2 linked regions of the Notamacropus eugenii genome follow. The protein of the gene in region 2 purifies or fractionates together with the protein of the main gene of each other region. This does not show direct contact. Links are inferred from orthologs where the notes say so. Each region holds a gene or a part of one and is shown on either strand. Other genes may lie near its edges.

What was found.
Region 1: the proteins of SPDYC (region 2) and CDK1 purify together in Homo sapiens (co-immunoprecipitation; 3 studies listed by BioGRID and IntAct, with this or other methods). This does not show direct contact. The link is inferred for Notamacropus eugenii from reciprocal best matches to the Homo sapiens genes SPDYC and CDK1.

What each region holds. Positions count from the first base shown.
Region 1 is NC_092872.1:268,935,470-268,945,169, forward strand, and holds the start of CDK1 (cyclin-dependent kinase 1), read right to left. Parts: upstream 4,131-9,700; 5' UTR 3,870-4,130; exon of another isoform or gene 3,384-3,869; intron 1-3,383. UniProt on the Homo sapiens protein: Plays a key role in the control of the eukaryotic cell cycle by modulating the centrosome cycle as well as mitotic onset; promotes G2-M transition via association with multiple interphase cyclins.
Region 2 is NC_092873.1:17,874,480-17,884,408, reverse strand, and holds the start of SPDYC (speedy protein C), read right to left. Parts: upstream 4,127-9,929; 5' UTR 3,158-4,126; coding exon of another isoform or gene 3,154-3,157; coding exon 3,095-3,153; intron 2,519-3,094; exon of another isoform or gene 2,310-2,518; coding exon of another isoform or gene 2,308-2,309; exon of another isoform or gene 2,126-2,307; intron 169-2,125; coding exon 63-168; intron 1-62. UniProt on the Homo sapiens protein: Promotes progression through the cell cycle via binding and activation of CDK1 and CDK2. Involved in the spindle-assembly checkpoint. Required for recruitment of MAD2L1, BUBR1 and BUB1 to kinetochores.

The sequences.
Region 1 (9,700 bases), on a different chromosome or scaffold from region 2:
TTGAGGTACTACAAACCTCACCCACATAAGACAGATGAACTCAACCAACATAGTGTGTATTCTGACTGCTCTACCCACAGCTCCCCATTTCTCTCCTATGCCCTGAGACACAATAACATTGGAATTCGACCAATTAAAAACCCTACAATGACCTCTAAGTGTTAAGAGTGAAAGGAAGAGTTAATTGATACAGCAAATTTCATGGATGTTTTAAGAAATTGCCAGAGCCAGCTCAACCTTCAGTAACCAACCACCCTAATCAGTCAGCAATCTGAGGCAAGATTCTCTGCAAGCAAAAAGATTACAGCTTGCTGAAGGCTCAGATGATGGTTAACATTTTTTAATTAAGGTATATACATTGGTTTTTTAGACATACTATGGCATTCTTAATAGACAACAGTACAAACACAGCTTTGATATGCCCTGAGAAACCAAAAATTCATGATTCAAAATTATTGCAACATTCACTTTATTATGTTAACCTGGAACCCAACCCACAATATCTCCAAGGCATGCCTGTGTTTTAGTGTATTTTATGTTGCTAAATATTTTCCAATTACATTTTAATCTATCAACAGCATGTTTGACATCTCTGGCCTAGAGCACTAAGACTAAATTACCATCCCATCATCACCACCATCAGTTCATGCCAACGGGCAGACATCAACCTAAGTCTTCTTGGCTTCTGAGTCAACTACTCACTGATGGCATGATGCCTCTCAGTATTTTGATGGAGAAATCTTTTGCTTATCCTTTGTTATCATAGAATACAAAAACTTCCTGATAAATGCAGTGTAAAAAAGAATTGAAACTGGACTCTCAGGTAGCCAAATTCTTGGCTGCTTCTGTCCCGTTAGAACTAGTTCTATGAGGCGAGCAGTGTATCATGAATGGCCAGATACCAATTTTCATTTGTACACTTTGTAAAGGCCAATACAGAACCCTTCCCACTACACTCACCCAAAATTCAGTTAAGCCCAAACTATATACAATTCAGGCAGTCAATAAACATAGAAGCTACATGTAGGATTAACAGGAAATAAATGAGAGGGAAGGCACTAGAATTAAGAGGGAATGGAAAAGGCTTCCTGTAGAAGATGGAATTTAAAAGGAAACCGGGCAAGTCGGGAAATGGCAATGAAGAGGCATAGGGAACAGCCAGACGAAAAAAGGTGGAGTGTCTCATTCAAAGAACAGCCAGGAAGCCAGTATGTGGCAGAGATTATTATAGATCACTTGTGTCCGGCCTATGGGAGTCTCCCAAGTTCACATTAGTGTGATCAGTCACAGTGGGACACATTGTACCTTTACTCCAAGTAGAGTAAGAAGACTGGAAAGGGAGGAGGGAGCTAGATGATGAAGAGCTTTGAAGGCCAAACCAATGATTTTGTATTTGATCATAGGTGACAAAACAGTTTACGAGGATCTAGAAAGGGCTGTTGGATCAGGCAATTAAGAGATCATTGGTAACTTTGAAGAGAGTGGTTCAGGTGGAATGATGAGGTCAGAAGCCAGACTGTAAGAGATGTTAAGAGAGAAACTGATTAAATTAGTTCAATTTGAAAAAAATAGCTGAAACAGTCTTCCACTAATCTTATGTTGAATCCATCTGTTAACTTGTCTTCCTTTTAGTTTGAAAGTTTTTAGGTGAATACCCCTTTCAAACAGCTTGTGTAGCCTAGAGCTGTCTTCTCACAGGCATCAGCCACCCATCTTCCTCCTAGCATTTCTCAGGAGATAGATGGCAGGGCCAGTTATGTCCCATGCTATCTACTTTTTGCAAACTATCTTGGTTGTCTAGGAAAGTGATCTGGGAGATTCTTTGAACCTAGATAGATAACGTTCAAATACTCTTTCAGACATTTTCTGGTCGTGTAAACCTGGACAAGTTACTGAGGCTTGGTCTCTTCCTCCAGCACTTGCATCAGAGTCGTAAGGACCAAATGACCTGCAGTCAGGGAACACTTTCTATTCAAGCGCAGCCCCAACCTTCTTGTATTTTACAACAATCTCGTCTAAAGCATGGCAAGGCTCCTTTCTCAGTGCCCTATGTAGTACTATTAAGAACATTAAGACTGCAGTTCAATTATTCTTACTGTACATGTATGCCCTTGGATCAAGTCACTGCCCTCAGCTGCCTCATCCATAAAGTACATTTATCTAACCAGATTACTTTCAGTCCTAAATTCTGGGCTAAAGATTGCTAAACTCACTAACTGTATTTATTACCCAGCACTGTCACTCCCAACTCACAAACCCTTAGCTTCCCCAGCTATAAAACGGGAATGACCATATTTGTATCACTCACCTTAGGAGGCTATTGGTCATGTATAAAAGGAAGGAAGGAATCCAAATGAGAACTAGCCAAAGGATACAAGCATGTTTCTAAGGAAGGAATGAATCCAAACGACTGATAGCCATGCTAAGAAAATGCTCCAAATCACTAATAATTAGGGAAATGCAAATTAAAGCAACCCACACACCCAGATAATGGCAAAGGGGACAAAAAAAGAAAATGCCAAATGCTGGAGGGGCTGTAGGAAAACAGGCACATGGATGTACTGTTTGTGAAGCTGTAAATTAGACTAGCCATTCTGGAAAGTAATTTGGAAATATACTGCAAAAGTTACTAAACTGTGCATACTCTTTGAACCAGTCCTATACTCCAAGAATATGAAAGATGAAAAGATATATGAAGATATTTCAAGTTCTTTTTTGTAGTGGCAAAGAACTGGAAGCAAGGTGGAGGGCATCAACCAAGGAGTGGCTAATCAAATTATGTTATATGATACAAGGAATATTATTGTGCTGTAAGAATCAATAAATGCTTATTAAGGGCCTACTATGTGCCAGGCACTGTGCTAAGTGTGGGGGATAAAAAAAAAAAACTGGCAAAAGACAAGAGCTTACAACAAATGAAGGAAATGAAGAAACCATTCAGAGAGACATGGGAAAATAGACACGGCCTGAGGCGGACTCAGGGCGCAGAACCCCAATCCCAGAGGCCTTCAGATCGATCCGAGGTCTGAGGTGGGCACGGGGCAGTGCCAAACAGGGCTGCGGGACGGCGATGGCAGAATGAGGGGGAGAGGGGGCGAGACCCGGTCATTGTTCATCTCTTACCAGGGCTTTATTTTTTTTTTCTTTTTTCAACTGAGTGGGGTGGCCGTAAGCAGAACGAAGTTTTTAAGTTTATAATAAATACAATTTAAAGGGGATTTTTTTTTAAGTTAGAAGGGAGGCCCGAGCCCTGGGGGGTCAGTTGGGTGTCCGAGCCCTTACGGGAAGCCTTCGCGTCCATGAATGAACGCGCTGACCTGGCCCGAGGCCTGTCATTGATCTGGCAATGAGTGACCCGTGACAGCTCCCCCGGTGGGCCCAGGCTACGCGGAGGTGGCAGGCAGACAGAGGGTGTGGGGGAGGGGTGCCACGCCACCGACGCGCTCAGGACCGTCCGGAGCCTCGACGTGCCAGCGCCGGGGGGGTCCTGGACGCGCCCCACCCCCGAGGAGCCGGGTCAGAACAAAGGGCCCCACCGCGCCTTCAGGGAAAGGTCCGCGCTCCCGCCCGTAAAATTCCGGGGGCGGCCACACCCCGGGGGGCGAGCGGCCACATGGGGAACGGAAGGGCTCCGGGCCGACGACGGTCACCAGTGGAAGGCTCCTGGGCGTCCTAGCCCTTCCTCGGGCGCAGACCCGGCTGGGGTCCTTCCCGAGGGAGCACGGGGTCGGGAGGGGAGGAGCCGCCACGCCGCCCGAGGTGGGGGGGTGGGTGGGAGGGGGGTGGAGGAGGCACTCCCTTTCCCCCCTCGGGCCGGGCCGGGCCCGCCTCGGGCGGCGCTTCCCCGCTGCGGGCCGGGCCCCGCTTACCTGAGGAGGCCGAGGCCGAAGGCGCAGCGGCGGGGGCTGCAGCGACTGCACGAGTACCTCCTCCGACTCAGCTCCTGGGACACCGACTGAGGCCAGTTTCAAACTCAGCGCGCTAAAGTGTCTCCGCTCCGCCAATCAGCGCGCCCGTAGACTTTCAAAGCGGCCAATCAGAGCCCGGACACTCCGCTGCTCTCTTTCCTGGGGGGGCGGCGGCGCGAAACAGCGGCGAAAAGGCGGCGCGCAGAAAAGAGGTGGGCGGGCGCCGACTGAGCCCCGGCGCAAGCGTCCTCTGGCTCTCTTCGGCCCCGCCCACCAGCCTCGTCCCATAGGTTCTCGTCGGAAACAAATCAAGTGGTAGGGCGGCATTGTGTTTCAGTCTGCGTACTGTGGGTCCAATTCTTATAGAGTCAAGGGACACTTCGGATCGTACAGAAGTATTTAATGTAACCCTCCAAGGTTTGTAAGCCACTTTACAAACATGAACTCTTTGGATTCTCACTACAACCCTGGGAGGTATACTATTATTATCCACATTTTAAAGATGAGGAAACTGAGGCAGACGTTGTGACTTGCACAGACGACGTCACCCGGCTAATTAGGATCAGAGGCAGTGTTTGGATCCAGAGCTCTACGCTCTAGATCAGTGATTTCTAACCTGGGGTCCACAGACTCCCCTATTTATTTCAATATTGTTTCTTTTGTGATTCTATTTCATAAAACATTTTCTGAGGAGCCCATAGGCTTCCCCAGCCCTTCGTGTGTGGATCATGCATAGTGTGTCCATGACACACCAAAAGCTAACAACCCCTGATCGAGAAAGTAATAGCTAGAATTTATAGAGCATTTAAGTTTACAAAGCATCTGGCATGTTAAGTTAACATTTATGTGGCATTTAAGTTTACAAATCACCTTGCATGTTAATAGTAAGTTGACACTGATGTAGCATTTAAGTTTACAAAACACCCCACATGTTAAAAGTAAGTTAACATTAATATAGCATTTAAGGTTTACAAAGCATCTGACATGTCAAGTTAACATTTATGTAGCATTTAAGTTTACAAAGCACCTTATATGTTAATGGTAAGTTAACATTTATATAGCATTTAAGGTTTACAAAGCATCTGACATGTCAAGTTAACATTTATGTAGCATTTAAGGCTTACAAAGCACCTCACATGTTAAAAGTAAGTTAACATTTATATAGCATTTAAGGTTTACAAAGCATCTGACATGTCAAGTTAACATTTATGTAGCATTTAAGTTTACAAAGCACCTTATATGTTAATGGTAAGTTAACATTTATATAGCATTTAAGGTTTACAAAGCATCTGACATGTCAAGTTAACATTTATGTAGCATTTAAGGCTTACAAAGCACCTCACATGTTAAAAGTAAGTTAACATTAATATAGCATTTAAGGTTTACAAAGCATCTGACATGTCAAGTTAACATTTATGTAGCATTTAAGTTTACAAAGCACCTTATATGTTAATGGTAAGTTAACATTTATATAGCATTTAAGGTTTACAAAGCATCTGACATGTCAAGTTAACATTTATGTAGCATTTAAGGCTTACAAAGCACCTCACATGTTAAAAGTAAGTTAACATTTATATAGCATTTAAGGTTTACAAAGCATCTGACATGTCAAGTTAACATTTATGTAGCATTTAAGTTTACAAAGCACCTTATATGTTAATGGTAAGTTAACATTTATATAGCATTTAAGGTTTACAAAGCATCTGACATGTCAAGTTAACATTTATGTAGCATTTAAGGCTTACAAAGCACCTCACATGTTAAAAGTAAGTTAACATTTATATAGCATTTAAGGTTTACAAAGCATCTGACATGTCAAGTTAACATTTATGTAGCATTTAAGTTTACAAAGCACCTTATATGTTAATGGTAAGTTAACATTTATATAGCATTTAAGGTTTACAAAGCATCTGACATGTCAAGTTAACATTTATGTAGCATTTAAGGCTTACAAAGCACCTCACATGTTAAAACTAAGTTAACATTAATATAGCATTTAAGGTTTACAAAGCATCTGACATGTCAAGTTAACATTTATGTAGCATTTAAGGCTTACAAAGCACCTCACATGTTAAAGGTAAGTTAACATTTATATAGCATTTAAGGTTTACAAAGCATCTGACATGTTAACATTTATGTGGCATTTAAGTTTACAAAGCACCTTATATGTTAATAGTAACTTAACATTGATGTAGCATTTCAGTTTACAAAGCACCTCACATATTAATAGTAAGTTAATATTTATATGGTACTTACTGTGTGTAAGGGCTTTACAATTATCTCATATAATCCTCACAACAACCCTCTCAGGTAGGCACTATTATTATCCCCATTTTACAGGTGAGAAAACTAAGGTAAACAAAGGTTAAGTGACTTGCCCAGGATCATACAGCTTGCAAGTGGCTTCCACAGCATTTGAGCTCAGGTCTTCCTGACTCCGAGTCCAGTACTCCACTCATCATGCCATATATCTGCCTATAACATACCTAAAGCACTTTATAAACACTAGCTATTTTATTCTTAGAGCTGGAAGGGACCTCAGAGGTCAAATAACCCAAACCCCTCATCTTCCAGATGAGACAGCTCAGGCCCAGGAAAGTTCAGTAAGTTAGTAAGTGACCAATGTCACTACTCAGGTAGTGACAGCAGCAGCCTTTGAACCCAGGCTGATGCCTCCAATGGCAATGCTCCTTCCTTGTAACTGTGATGTTTTTGAGGTCATGAGGTTCAGTTCCTCCCTGAGTGCACACACACACATACACACACACACATGCAAACACACACACACACGCAAACACACACACACACACACACACACACACACACTGCATTTTACAGAGGAAGGACTGAAGGAAGTAGGCCCTACGTCACTCAGTGCTAAGTGTCAGCCATGGAATGTAAACCCAGATCCTCAGCCTCTGGATCCTGTGTCCCATGCCTGCTTTGGAGATCTGGGTCAAAATCTCTCTTTTTCCAAAAGAAGGACATAGGCAAAGGGAGTAGAAGTGACTTGAGCAAGGTGACCCGTATGGTAAGTAGCAGAATCAAGTTTGGAACTTAGGTCCCCTAACTCCATGCGCAGCCCTGTGCGGCCTCCCCAAGAGGCTACTTTGCCTCATTAGAGCTGGGGGAGATGCTAGCTTACTAAGCTGCTAAATTCCTTAGCCCCTCTTCATTCCAGAGCCTTCTCCTTGTTAATCATTTCCTATTTGTCTTCTGTATAGCTTGCTTTGGATATATTTATTTTCATGTTTGTCTCCCTCAATTAGATTATGAGCTCCTTGAGCATATGATTGTTTTATCTCTTTTTGAATCCCTACCTTCTCTTAGCTAAATAAATATTGATTGATTGATTGATTGATTCAGATGTAGCCTTTGACCCAGGACCCTGTCAAGCACTAGGTATGGTGGGGAGGGTAGAAGAAACACTCATCATTTCTCATTTGCTTCTCACATTCACCCTAGGAGATAGGTAATATGATTATCTCCACTTTATAGATAAGGAAACTGAGGCAAACAGGTGAAATGACTTGCCTACCGTCACCCAACTAGTAAGTATCTGAAGGTACATATGCACACACACATATGCATATATGTATATACATGTTGTCTAGACCTATGAGTTCATCTAGTTAGGGAATGCTTGAAAAGAAACTTCAGTTAATGATGAAGTTGGTGGTACAATGGGTAGAGGTCTGAGCCTGGAATCAGGAAGAGGGGAGCACCATCAAATGTAGCTGACTGAAGCAGACCTAATCCTCATTCCCCAGACCCATAAAATGCCTGAGGCTTACCAGACAGTATCACTCCCAGATTCTGACATTTTTGTAAATGTCCTAAACTCTCCCCTCTGAGATTCTCAAACTTTCTCTATGGACTTTTAGTTGCTTTGCAAAACAGCTTACCTGGTGAAATAGTATAATGTCCTACCTTTTCACATCAGCAGTGCCTCTCTCTCAGCCTAAATACTTTATAAGAACCCCACATCCAGCCCCCTTTTCGGGATCCCCAGCACTTGTTACTGCGTGGAACCCCAGTTGCAACCCCTTGTCCCAACTAAAGATCATCATTTTTGCTACATTGCTGCTTTTTCCTTAATTCAGGTTGACAGTACATATCTAGCCTCAGAGACTTACTGGCATTACTTAAACTCTGCCTCAATTTCCTCAATTGTAAAATTGGAATAATAATTACACCTACTTCCCAAGGTTTCTGTGAAGATCAAATGAGATAATATTTTTTTTTGAAAAAAAAAAAAACATTTAGCACAGGGCCTGGCACATAGTAGACACTATAGAAATACTTATTCCCTCTCCTTCCTCCCCTTTTAATTGAGGTTGCTACTATTCTACAGCTTTAGGGGCATGAGAGGCAGGTTCAGTGGCTTGTCCAGGGACACACCAGTCATCTGTGTCCAAGGAAGGAATGGAATGAGGTCTATCCTTGGCTCCAAAGCTGACTCCCTGATCTCTGTGCCACATTATATTTCCAGGAACCATTCACCATCAACCACAAACTGAGTAATCCAGAAAACCTTAGGTAAATATTTCAAATGATGCTCAAAAAAATAAGCAGAACAAAAAAAATTATTTACACAATACAACTTAAATGAAAACAACTCTAGAAGATATTGGAATAATGTACTTTCTTATCTTGACTCCAACAACTGATAGAGAATGTAGGGGCTAGGAAGGAAGGAAGGAAGGAGGGAGGGAAAGAAGGGAAAAAAGGAATTTATTAAGTGCTTGCTATGTTCAGAGGATTATGTTGAGTACACAAAGAGAAAAGCAAAACAGTCCTTGTTCTCAAGAAACTCAGATTCTATTAATAGAGGAAACACAGAATTAAGCATAAACTGTCAGACCAAGTTATAAGGTCATTTGTTTTGCTTAAATGTATTTCTTGGTTAGGGGGCTGCTAGGTGATGCCATAGTGCAGAGAGCTCTGGACCTGGAGTGAGGGTGACTCATCTTCCCAAGTTCAAATCTGAGTTCAGACACTTACTAGCTGTGTGACCCTGGACAAGTCACTTCACCCTATTTAATTCAGTTTCCTTATCTGTAAAATGATCTGGAGAAGGAAATGCCCAACCATTCCAGTATCTTTGCCAGGAAAACTCCAAATAGAGCCATGAAGAGTCTGATAGTACTTTTAATGACTAGACAACAAATGAAGGTTCTATGGGATGAGAGGTGGTCCTTGGAAATAATCTGTTTTTTAAAAAGCTTCCAAAAAATCTCTCTTTGTTTCATGTCCCTACTCAATTTCCCCTGGGAACCTCAGAATTTAATTTGTCTTGCTCCAGCCCAGGGATCCCATACTCAAATTGTATGTTTAAAAAAAATTTTTTTTAGGAGCCAAGATGGTAGAATAGAAGGACTGACCTGCTCTAGCTCTCCCCCCATAGCCCAAAGTATATCTGTAAAAAATGATTCTAGACAAATTCTAGAGCAGCAGAAGCCACAAAATGACAGAGAGAAATGGATTTCCACCCCAATGCAGCCTGGAAGGCCAACAGTAAAGGTCTATCACGTTGGGGTTGGAGCAAAATGCAGCCCAGTGTGACCCACGTGACACAGACAGGACTCATACAGGCTTCAGGGTATGGAATCATGAGCAGCTACTGTGGTTCCCAGATTTCTCAACTTACCAATGTCAAAGATAGGTTCAAAGGTCATTGAGAAAGCTCTTTCACCTGGGTGAGAGGGGGGATGGTCCAGCCTCAGCCCTGGCCTCAGGGTGGCAGCAGTCACTGTAGCAGAAGGATCCAATTTTGGAGCCTTCAGCCTCAA
Region 2 (9,929 bases):
CTTGGGACCTGGCCTATTGCCCTCTAGAGATTTAGACCATGCTGAATAGGATAGGATCCCACCTCTTTACTCTCCCTGTCTGCCTCTAGGCAATCCACTCCAGGTTGGGAACTGGGAGGGCACAAGGTGGATGGAGTCAGCCTGAGGTGGAGAGGCAATACAGAGGACCTGGAATCAGATGGGCCAGGATTAAAAACCTGCCTCAGATATTAGCTCACTGTGGTTACCCTGGGCAAGTCACTTAACCTCTCTGCCTCAGTTTCTTCATCTTTAAAAGAGAATACTAGCAACTACCTCACAGGCTTATTGTGAGACTCAAATGCAAGTAAAGAATTTTGCGAACTTTCAAATGCTATGTAGATGCCAGCAATTCTTATTAGAGTAGAAGGGGAACTTTGAGTGCACAGAATCCAACCCTTTCATTTTTTACAAATGAAGAGACAGCTTCAAAATGTCTCATCCATCTCCATAGACTCAGACAGAGAGGTGATACAGTGGAGAGAGTACCAGCCCTGGAGTCAGGATGACCTGAATTCAAATCAAGTCTCAGACACTTACTAGCTGTGTGACCTTGGGCAGGTCACTTAACCCCAACTACCTCAAGAAAAAAAAAAAGAGAGAGTCAGAGAACATCTGTTAAGTACTTGGGGACACAAACACAACCAATCAAGACCCTGCCTGGCCTCAAGGAGCTTATACTCTAAAAAAGGAGACCTGGAATGCAAAGATCTCTGAGGACCAGAGGAAGGCACTATGGATGTTTATTTATCCTGGAGAAGAGGAAACTCAGGGAAGACAGGAGAGTAGCTTCCTAGAGCATCTGAAGGACCATCCTGTGGGGGATGTTAGATTCACTTAGGATATTTTAGAGGGCAGAATCAGGAACAATGACTGGAAATTTGAAAGGAGCAAATGGAGATCTAAGGTCAGGGGGAAACAAACCAACCTAATAATTAGAGATTAATGAATCCCCAAACTGGAATGGGCTGTGATGGGAGGGGAAAGGTTATCCCAGATGTGGAGGTCTGAATGCCCCCTCATCTGGCATAGCAGAGAACCTTAGAATGTCCATTTTCCTACAAAGCCCAGCTCAGGGGTAAACCTGCAGGAGCCTTTCCTCACCCACTTGTTAGAAATGCCTACCTTTAGTCTATTTCCTCATATATACTTTAACCCTCTTTGGTGGAATGTGAGCTGAGTTGGGGAGAGGAAAAATTGTCTAGTTTTCTTGGGTGTAGCATGTATGTAGTATGATGGGCAGTGTCTACCTTACAATCTAGAAGGCTTGGGCCTAAAGACTTGGATGTGAATCCCCTAAGACACTTAACCTCGGCTAAGTGACTTCTGCTCTGAGCCTCAATTTCTTCATTTGTAAAATGTGGAGGTTGCACAATGATAAAATGTAAATTCTTTGAGAGCTTATTTTTGTCCCAATATCTGGCACATAGCAGGTACTGGACAAACATTTATTGAATGGTCATTTCTTTGAATGATTACAATTCTGTACACAGAAGAAAAAAAATGAAACCAAATACTGAACAATCGTAATGACAAAACTTGGACCTGAGGAAGAGTTTAGAAAATGTCTCCCGTGTGGGAAGAGTTGGGCATAATGGGTACACAGATTCAGACACAGGCTCCTGAAATGGATTGGAAAAGTGCTTAGTTAGCTTCATGCCTGGAACATAGTAGGTACTTCATAAGTGCTTGTCCCCTTCCCTCCTTCCTTTCCCTAATTAGAAGATCATGAATTTTGAGTTGGAGAGGACCCTAGAGAGCATCTGAGGGCAACATACTCCTTTTACAAAGAAGCTAGACTGAGCCACACAAGAATCAGGAAGTCTCCTGAGTTCAAATCCAGCCTCAGATGCTCACTAGCTGTGTGATCCTGGTCAAGTCCCATAACCCCCTTGGCCTTTGTTTTCTCATTTTTAAAATGAATTGGAGAAGGAAACGGCAAACCACTCTAGTATCTTTGCCAAGAAACCCGAAATGGAGTCACAAAGAGTCAGACACAATTGAACAACTTTTTACAGATGAGGAGACCTAGGGGTTAATTAGTTTTGCTGAACTGCTTCCCTTCCCCTCCTTTCTTTTAAAATCATTGTTGGCTGGGATGGCTCACCCAGCAGGAAGGGAGAAAGAGATTCAGAAATATAGGTCGTTCTCATCTGCTTCCAGAGGTTCAACTGCCATCTCCATGAAAGAGACTCAGAGATCCAGCCCGTCTCTCTCCTGAACTCAAAAACCACCATCACTAACTGCCCAAGCTAACATTTCCAACTGGATATCCCATAGGCAGCTCACATTCAACAAGTCCAAGCAGGACTCATCACTTCCCCTTATTCAATCAGGTGGTTATTTTACCTCGAGGGCAACTCTCATGTCATCCTTTTCTCTCTCCTTCACCTGTCCAGGTGCTCAACACCTCTCACCTGAGCTATTCTAATTAGGTCTTAATTGGCCTCCTCGCCTCTGGACTCACCTACCTCCAACGTGATTTCTTAAAGTTCCTTTCAGATAAAGAAAGAAAGGAAAGCAAGGAAGAAAAGGAGGTAGGTACTAGACAAACATTTATTTATAGATTGGTCAGTTTAGGAAATGATGACAATTCTGTACATAAAACAAAACAGGAGTGATTACAATGAGAAAACGTGGCCCTGTGGATGATTTATCTGGTGTCTTCTCCAGCCTCCTTTTGTTGAGTATGGCCTTCACCTTTTGGTATTGTGGAACAGATGTCAAACAGGCAGCCCATAAGAGTGTGACCTGAACCAGGTGAAAATGTAATTGGAAAAAAATGAACAAAAAAAAAGGAAAAATATAAGAGAATCTAGAAAACTTGGATCTGTGGTTTCCCGAGTCAGTATGCAGCCCCCAGGGCCCCTTTTTTCCATTTCGTTTTGACACCCACTGTGGTCAGGGAGCATGATTCATACCATAGCATCAGGAAATGAAACTGAGGAAAAGCAAGGGCGAAGATTTCTTTTCCAGCTCTGTTGGGGAGAAACTGTAGAATCCAAGGTGGTGGATGATTGCTGCTTAGGGTGGGAAGCAATTATAACTCAACAAAGAGAGAAGTCATAATACGTACTCACTTTTGAGAATCGTCTTTGGGCTGGAAAGACATTCTGGACAACAGGTATTGTTCATCCATTGACCTTCCTGGTCTCTGTGTGCCTGTGCTTTCCCTCTGATGTTATGGCCAGTCTAACCTGTATCTAATTAGACTTTGAGCTCCAGGAGGGCAGGAACTATGTTTTCACCTTCCCTATCACCAATGCTTAGCACAGTACCTGGCACATAGTCAGTGTTTAATGAAAGTTTGTGGATTGACTAGTTTGAAGAGGGTCATGTTTGCTATGCACAAAAACCCTCTGGGAGGGAGTGGCCAGGACAGATGCTTCGGCAGCAGATAGCTTGTCCTAACCATAGCAGCTGTTAGTCAGCCCCCCCACACACACACCCCCATCCCTTGGCCAGTGTTCTACTAAGCTCAAGATGGACTTTATTAAATACTAAAAAATTCTTTTGCATTTAATAAATATTTACAAATATCATTTCTTCAACTTATAAATTTGGCTCATATTTTTTCACCCACTTGGAATTTCTACCAGGAAAACTTCCTGATTTTGATGAGCTCAGGCCTCATTTTCTCAGGAAGACATTGATCTTCTTTTCTCTGCTTGGCCTACCAGCAAATGCTCACATTATGACTTGAGTTGATTCAGTGTTATTACTTGAAAGAGAAAGCTAATGAAGCATCTTGTAAAATAATAGTGTCAAACTCCAAGAGAAAGGGATCTCTGTGGCCATGCATTGATTTAAAAAACCACAAATTCACATCATTCTGTTTCTATTTATTTTGTTAAACATTTTCCAATTGTAATTTATCTGGTTCAGCCCCACTCAGTGAGAGTTTTACACCTCCATCTTAGGGATTTCCCAAGTGAAAGTGTGCCAGTTTACTCAAAAGGTCAAACAAGTACATGCCCAACCCAGGCCCCTGTTCTCTGATGAGTTCACATATCTGAACTTTCCAAGAGTATGAACACTCCCAGAAGACTTTGCCCAAGGAGAGCCCGGACTCCTGGTCTGCCTCCCAATTCTTCAGTCATGGTGTGGGAGGATATGCTGCCTCATTACTCTCACCTACCTTATTGACACTTCTGAGGACTTTGACCAGGAGTGGTTTCAATCTTAGAATCTCCACTCAGCAAAAAACTGTGCCATCTCTACTTTCACTTTGGCTGAACTCTAGCAAGCAGATATGGCCACCAACCTGGAGCAGAGAGAGAGAGAGAAAAAGAGAGAGAGTGCACCAGTCAGCCTTCTATCAGTAAATTAGATGCAGCAATTGGGATGGGAACTCTCTGAATTCAAGGAATTTAGCATTTAGAAGACTCAGTTTGTATTACACATTTCAATTTCTTCAGCAAATGCCTCTCCAGTTAAGTGGTTCCCTAGAGTCTACACTAGGGAAGGGTGAAAGGAAAAAACACACAAAATTTGTTAAAGAACAGATTTTGGAGATGGGAGCAGGATGACACAGACCTCCAAATCTGTATCTAGATTGGGGTAATGAAGGTCCCACATTGGGCAGGTGATATGGCAACCCTAAAAATGGCTTCTTAGCATTCTCATTTTATCTGGGAAAACTCCCTTCTCTGGTGTATGTTAGGGATGCTCATTCCTTTCCAGGGTACTTCTTGGTGGGGAGCAAGGTGCTGGCTACTACTACCTCTGTTCATATATGGTTGACAGACGCAATAGCCTATTATCAGTCTTCATTGGCCTTGACTTCTCCGTAGCCTTTGACGTTGTGAACATTCTCAGTGTTGACACTGTCTCCTCTCCAGGTCTTCAGAACACCATCTTCCGCGTGACTGCTCCTTCCTAGACTCCTGTGCTGGATCCTTGTCCAGGTAACAGCCATACTAAGTGTCTCAGGCCCTCTTCTCCTCTCTCTCCATTCCATTTCACTTGGAGATCTCATCAGTTCTATGGACATAATTACCATCTCTGTGCTGATGATTCCCAAAGCTATTTATCTAGTCTTAATCTCTCTTTTCATCTCCAGTCTCACATCTCCTCCTGCCTTTTAAACATCAGATCTGGATGTTTGGTAGACATGTTAAGCTCAATGTGTCCAAAAACTGAATTCATTTTCTTTTCCCCTAAACTTACACTATCCTCCCAGTCACCCAGGCTAGGCACCTAGGAGTCATCCTTGATTCCCCACTATCTCTCACTCCCCATATCTAATCTCTTGAAAACACCCCTTCTATCCTCTGACACTGTCACCACTCAGGCCCTCATCACCTCACACCTGGACTATTGCCCTAGCCTGTTGGGGATTCTGCCTGCCTCAAATCTCTCCCCACTCCAATACATCTTCCATTCAGCCTCCAAAGTGACTTTCCTAAAGAGAAAGTTTGACCATGTTACCCCTCTATTCAAGAAATTCCAGGTGTTCCTTATTACCTCATGGATCAAACACAAAATCCTCTGTTTGTTGTTCAAAGCCCTCCCCACATCTTTCCAGCCTTCCTATACCTTACACCCTCTTTTCCTTCAATCCAGTGACACTGGTTTCCTGATCATTCTTCAAACAAGATACTCCATCTCCCAGTTCAGACATTTTGAGTGGCTACCCCAACCTAAAATGCTCTCCCTCCTCATCTCCACCTCCTGGCTTCCTTCAAGTCTCAATTAAAATCCTACTTTTTACAGGAAGCCTTTCCCAACCCCTCTTCATTCCAGTGCATTTGCTTTTTTAATAATCTATTAATCCTGTATATAGCTTGTTTGTACAAAGTGGTTTGCATGTTGTCTTCCCCATTAGATCATGAGCTCCTTGAGGGAACACTGTCTTTCTTATACCCCCAGCGCAATAAGTGCTACATGGTAGGTGCTTAATAAATGTTTGTTGTTTGTTGCTTAGAGATCAGTGCTTTGGAATCACTGAGTATAGTAATTGAGGGGAGTGAGCCACTGGGAATGAGGATGCTTCTCTATGTACTTACTCATGGTTGGATGACATGGAAGAAATGGATTATCCCTACTGATGGATCCCAGGAAGTACCTTCATCCCTTGGCCACTACTCAGTTGAGCATGATGGTTACCACTTTTGTTTGGTTGTCACTGCTGAGTCATTTCAGTGTCATCCAAATCTTCATGGCCCCATCTGGGCTTCTCTTGACAAAGACATGGGAGTGGTTTGCCATTCTCTTCTCCAGCTCATTTTGCAGATGAGGAAACTGAAGCAAACAAGGTTAAGGAACTCACCAAAGGTCACACAGTTAGTGTCTGAGGCCAGATGTGAACCCAGGAAGATGAGTCTTCCTGACTCCAGGCCTGGTTCTCTATCCCTTGTGCCACCTAACTGCCTGTTTTTGTAGGGCTTTGTTTGACAACACTGTTGTTCCAACAGCTCTGTGGAGGAGGCAACAGGAAGATTGCGCTACTCATTTTGTTAATTTTTTTAAACATTTTCTCTCATTTTATTTTATTTTTTGATCCTGGGGGTGATAGGGAGTCAATGAGTGGACACACTGCTAAAGGAACTGAATCAAATTGACCTTGGCATTCTTGCTACAAATGAAGCTAGAAACAAGATGGAAGTTTCAATATATGGAAAGATGGTTCCCAAGTACCGTAGGCAGCTCATCTTTTCCCTTGTTAAGGATTCTATCTTTTTTATATTATCTAGCAAGGTCACAGGAGAGTAAGTAGGTAACTTCTTAGGGACAGATGTTGTTTATAATAGTGTACATTGGGTCCACTATGACCTAATCCTCTTCCTCTGGTCTTTTTGCACCTTTCTTCTTCAGCCTCCATAATAGCTGGTCAGCCCAAGGGACCTTCTTGTTGAATGGTATTGGGAAACTATAAAAAACATGCCCTGGTAACAATCACCTTGCCTTCACTGCAGACACACCTGCCTTTGTTCTCCTGATGCAGTCTGACCTGGACTTCTCACCTCTGCAGCTTCACTGCTCCTCCTCAGCTGGGCCATCCACCCAGATGAGATAGGGAATGGGGTCAGGACATTCAGTGTCCATCCAAACACAGGCTCTACTTTGTCCCAGTCTCGTCTTTTGCATTAAGGATTTTTCCTCTTCCGGTCCAGCACAAATGAAACAGTTAGGTCTCTAAGGTTTTCTATGTCAACCTTTAGAAAATTCACTCTAAGACAAACAAAATTAGGATGCATATGTATATTATTTCTCTCAAAGCTGGCAAACATGCATATAGAGATATGCATGGGAGTTCATCTGGAAAAATGAGTTCAAGGAAAGGCCAGTTGAAGACAGTTTTATATAATTACAGAAAGGAATTCTTGCTTTTCCCTCCCTTCCAGGCTCAGGATGCCTGAGTCAGCCAAAATTATAGTCTCCATATGTGTTAACCATAATATGAGAAAGGAATTTCTTAGTAGGATAGATTTATGAAACTTGGACATCATAACAGGGTGTAAAATAAGTGTCCATAAAATACCAAGATAAGTCCCACTATTTCAAGATATTGTCTGGTTCAAGGTACCTGGTCCCTGGCAGAAGAATGTTCCCAGTCAGCAAAATCCAGCAGGTGAGCTTGGGCTCACTCAGAGAGGAAAGCAAAGCATGTCTCTTATGCCAGAGCAGCAAAGCATTATGGTAGTGTTGAGGGCACAGAGATCCTTATCAATGAACCAGAGACTCAGAGATATTAGCAAAAAGAATAGTTCGTTTATTGACTTTCTCGAGAAAGGGCTCCCTCAGAGTGCCCGGAAGATGGCACCAATGGAAGAGATCGGAGCTGTGTTTAGCTCAGCAGATTATATAGGCCTTAATCCCTCCCTAGCCTCCTTCCTCAGGGCTCGTTGGTGCAAGCCCTGAGGGTACAATCTATTTGAGGCAATCTACCCCAGCAACAGGGAACAAAGACAGTTTTCACACATTAGCCTTAAAAAAAAAAAAAATGGAGGGGGTGGTGTTATGAGTCTAAAAACAAGGCGGGGAAAGGCTGGGAAAATACAGAGGGCAGTCTGGTGAAGTAAAAGGGGTAGTCTTGGGAAAATATAGGGAGCAGTCTGGGAAAGTATAGAATATCTTGACACATTGTTTCAACCAGACAAGAAACAATTAACCCCTTGAAGAGGCTTCACTCCTGAGAGAGATCCTCAGAGATCATCCCTCACAGTAGGTTAAGCTTAGAATGAGCTAAAAAATGTCTCTCTCCTGATTGGGCAGTCCGGGTTTTTTGACTTTTTTCAGGTGATGGGGGTTGGGGGGAAGTTAGTTAACGCCTATAAGTTTCCATCATTCAGAATCTAGATCAGTTGCTCACCAGAACTACAGGCTTCAGTGCTATAATCAATCCAGATGTCCAGCCCTTCTTCCTTGGGCGGGGGGTCTCTAAGAAGATCCCCAAGTCAGGGTACTGCCACACCTTTGGGAGAAGGCCCTAGCAGCACTACCTGCTGTTCACACTTGAGCAAACCTTTCCCTTTGTTCTCTGAGTGTTCAGGCTTCTAACTGCTTGAGGGAGAGAGAGCTTCCCTACAGGCCCAGATCTGGTGTTCAGGTTCAGGTACCCTCTTCCCAACTCTGAAGTCACCAGGAGCTTTTGAATGAGCAAGTGTTTGTGCCAACTCACAAGATTTTAAGTGACTGGGGCTTCCCCCTATGCACCTGGTGGTAACCTCTTCCCATCTCCCCCACCTGCCTCAATGCCCCATTGCATAGCTTTACAGTGGCCTTGTTGCTACACCGGGTCATCAGGGGTCCAGACAGAGAAAGTGAGCCCTGCAGGGTGGGAGTAATGAATCCAGTGGGTAACCAGCGGGCAGTCCCGGCTGCCAACAGCCTGGGGGATTCGGGGCGGGGCGGGAGGCGGGGGGTGCCGAAAGTTACAACTGAGGCCTTGCTCTGAGAGGTTACATTGTTTCCCTGCAGTCTTCGCTGGACGTACTGGGTCTCTCCGGTGAGAGTGGCAGGTCCCAAAGAGAGGTCTCCCTTGGGGTTTGGTAGCTCAGAAGGAGCTCAATAATGGAGAGACATCCCGGCCTCTCTACCTCCCCTCTGTCAGCAGAAGGAACTGTGGGGGGATCCAGGGGCAGAGAAAGGGAAACATCCAGGAGGGCGTGGGCGCAGAGAGGCGACGGGCAAGGTCCCAGAGAGGTAGGAGTGGTGGGGCATCGGCAACCTTGCACCCTAACCCTAAAGCTTCTTCCCTAGAGCAGCGTTCCCGCAGAGGGCTCTTAATAACTAACAGACCCGGCCCCTGACGCAGTCCGGATTAACGGCCATTTAGTCAATTAGCGTTTTGAAATCCCAGGACTTTGTTACTTTCCAGTTCTCCCGCCACACCTCAGCGAGGCTCAGTCAATCCAGTCTTAGCTGAAGTCACGCCACGCCCTCTGGAACCTGGTTGGCTGTAAAGGTCCTGTCCGCCTAGCTTCTATGAGCGCTTTTCCTATTGGTCAGTGTGCTTTCCAGATGACGAATCAGAAAGAGCCACGAAAATCTATCTTTCGGCACGGACTAGAGCCAGGGTGCTTCGGATCAAGAAGAATTTAATTCTCAGCGCAAGGGGCCAAGGTGTCTCTCAGCTGTCGTCTGTTCTTCAGAGTTTGTGTTAGTATTTCTAGGGGTGTCGGTCTTCACCGCATCTCTCCTGGATTTTGTGTCCTTGGACCTGCAAAATCAATCTCTTTGACCTCCCACCCCCACCAATGGTACAAGCCAAAGTGTAGGCGGAGGGCGGGCCCGGAGCTCTCTGGGCTGGAAGGGGCACTGAGACGATACCATATTTGACCTGAGAGACGGGGGGGAGCCCGCGCCCTCCGAGCCTGAGCTTTCTTCCACAACATACTTCTGATCTCCTAAGTTTTGCATGACAAACGCTTCCGGTAAGGTCCTAAGGAATTCTCCGGTGGCCTGCG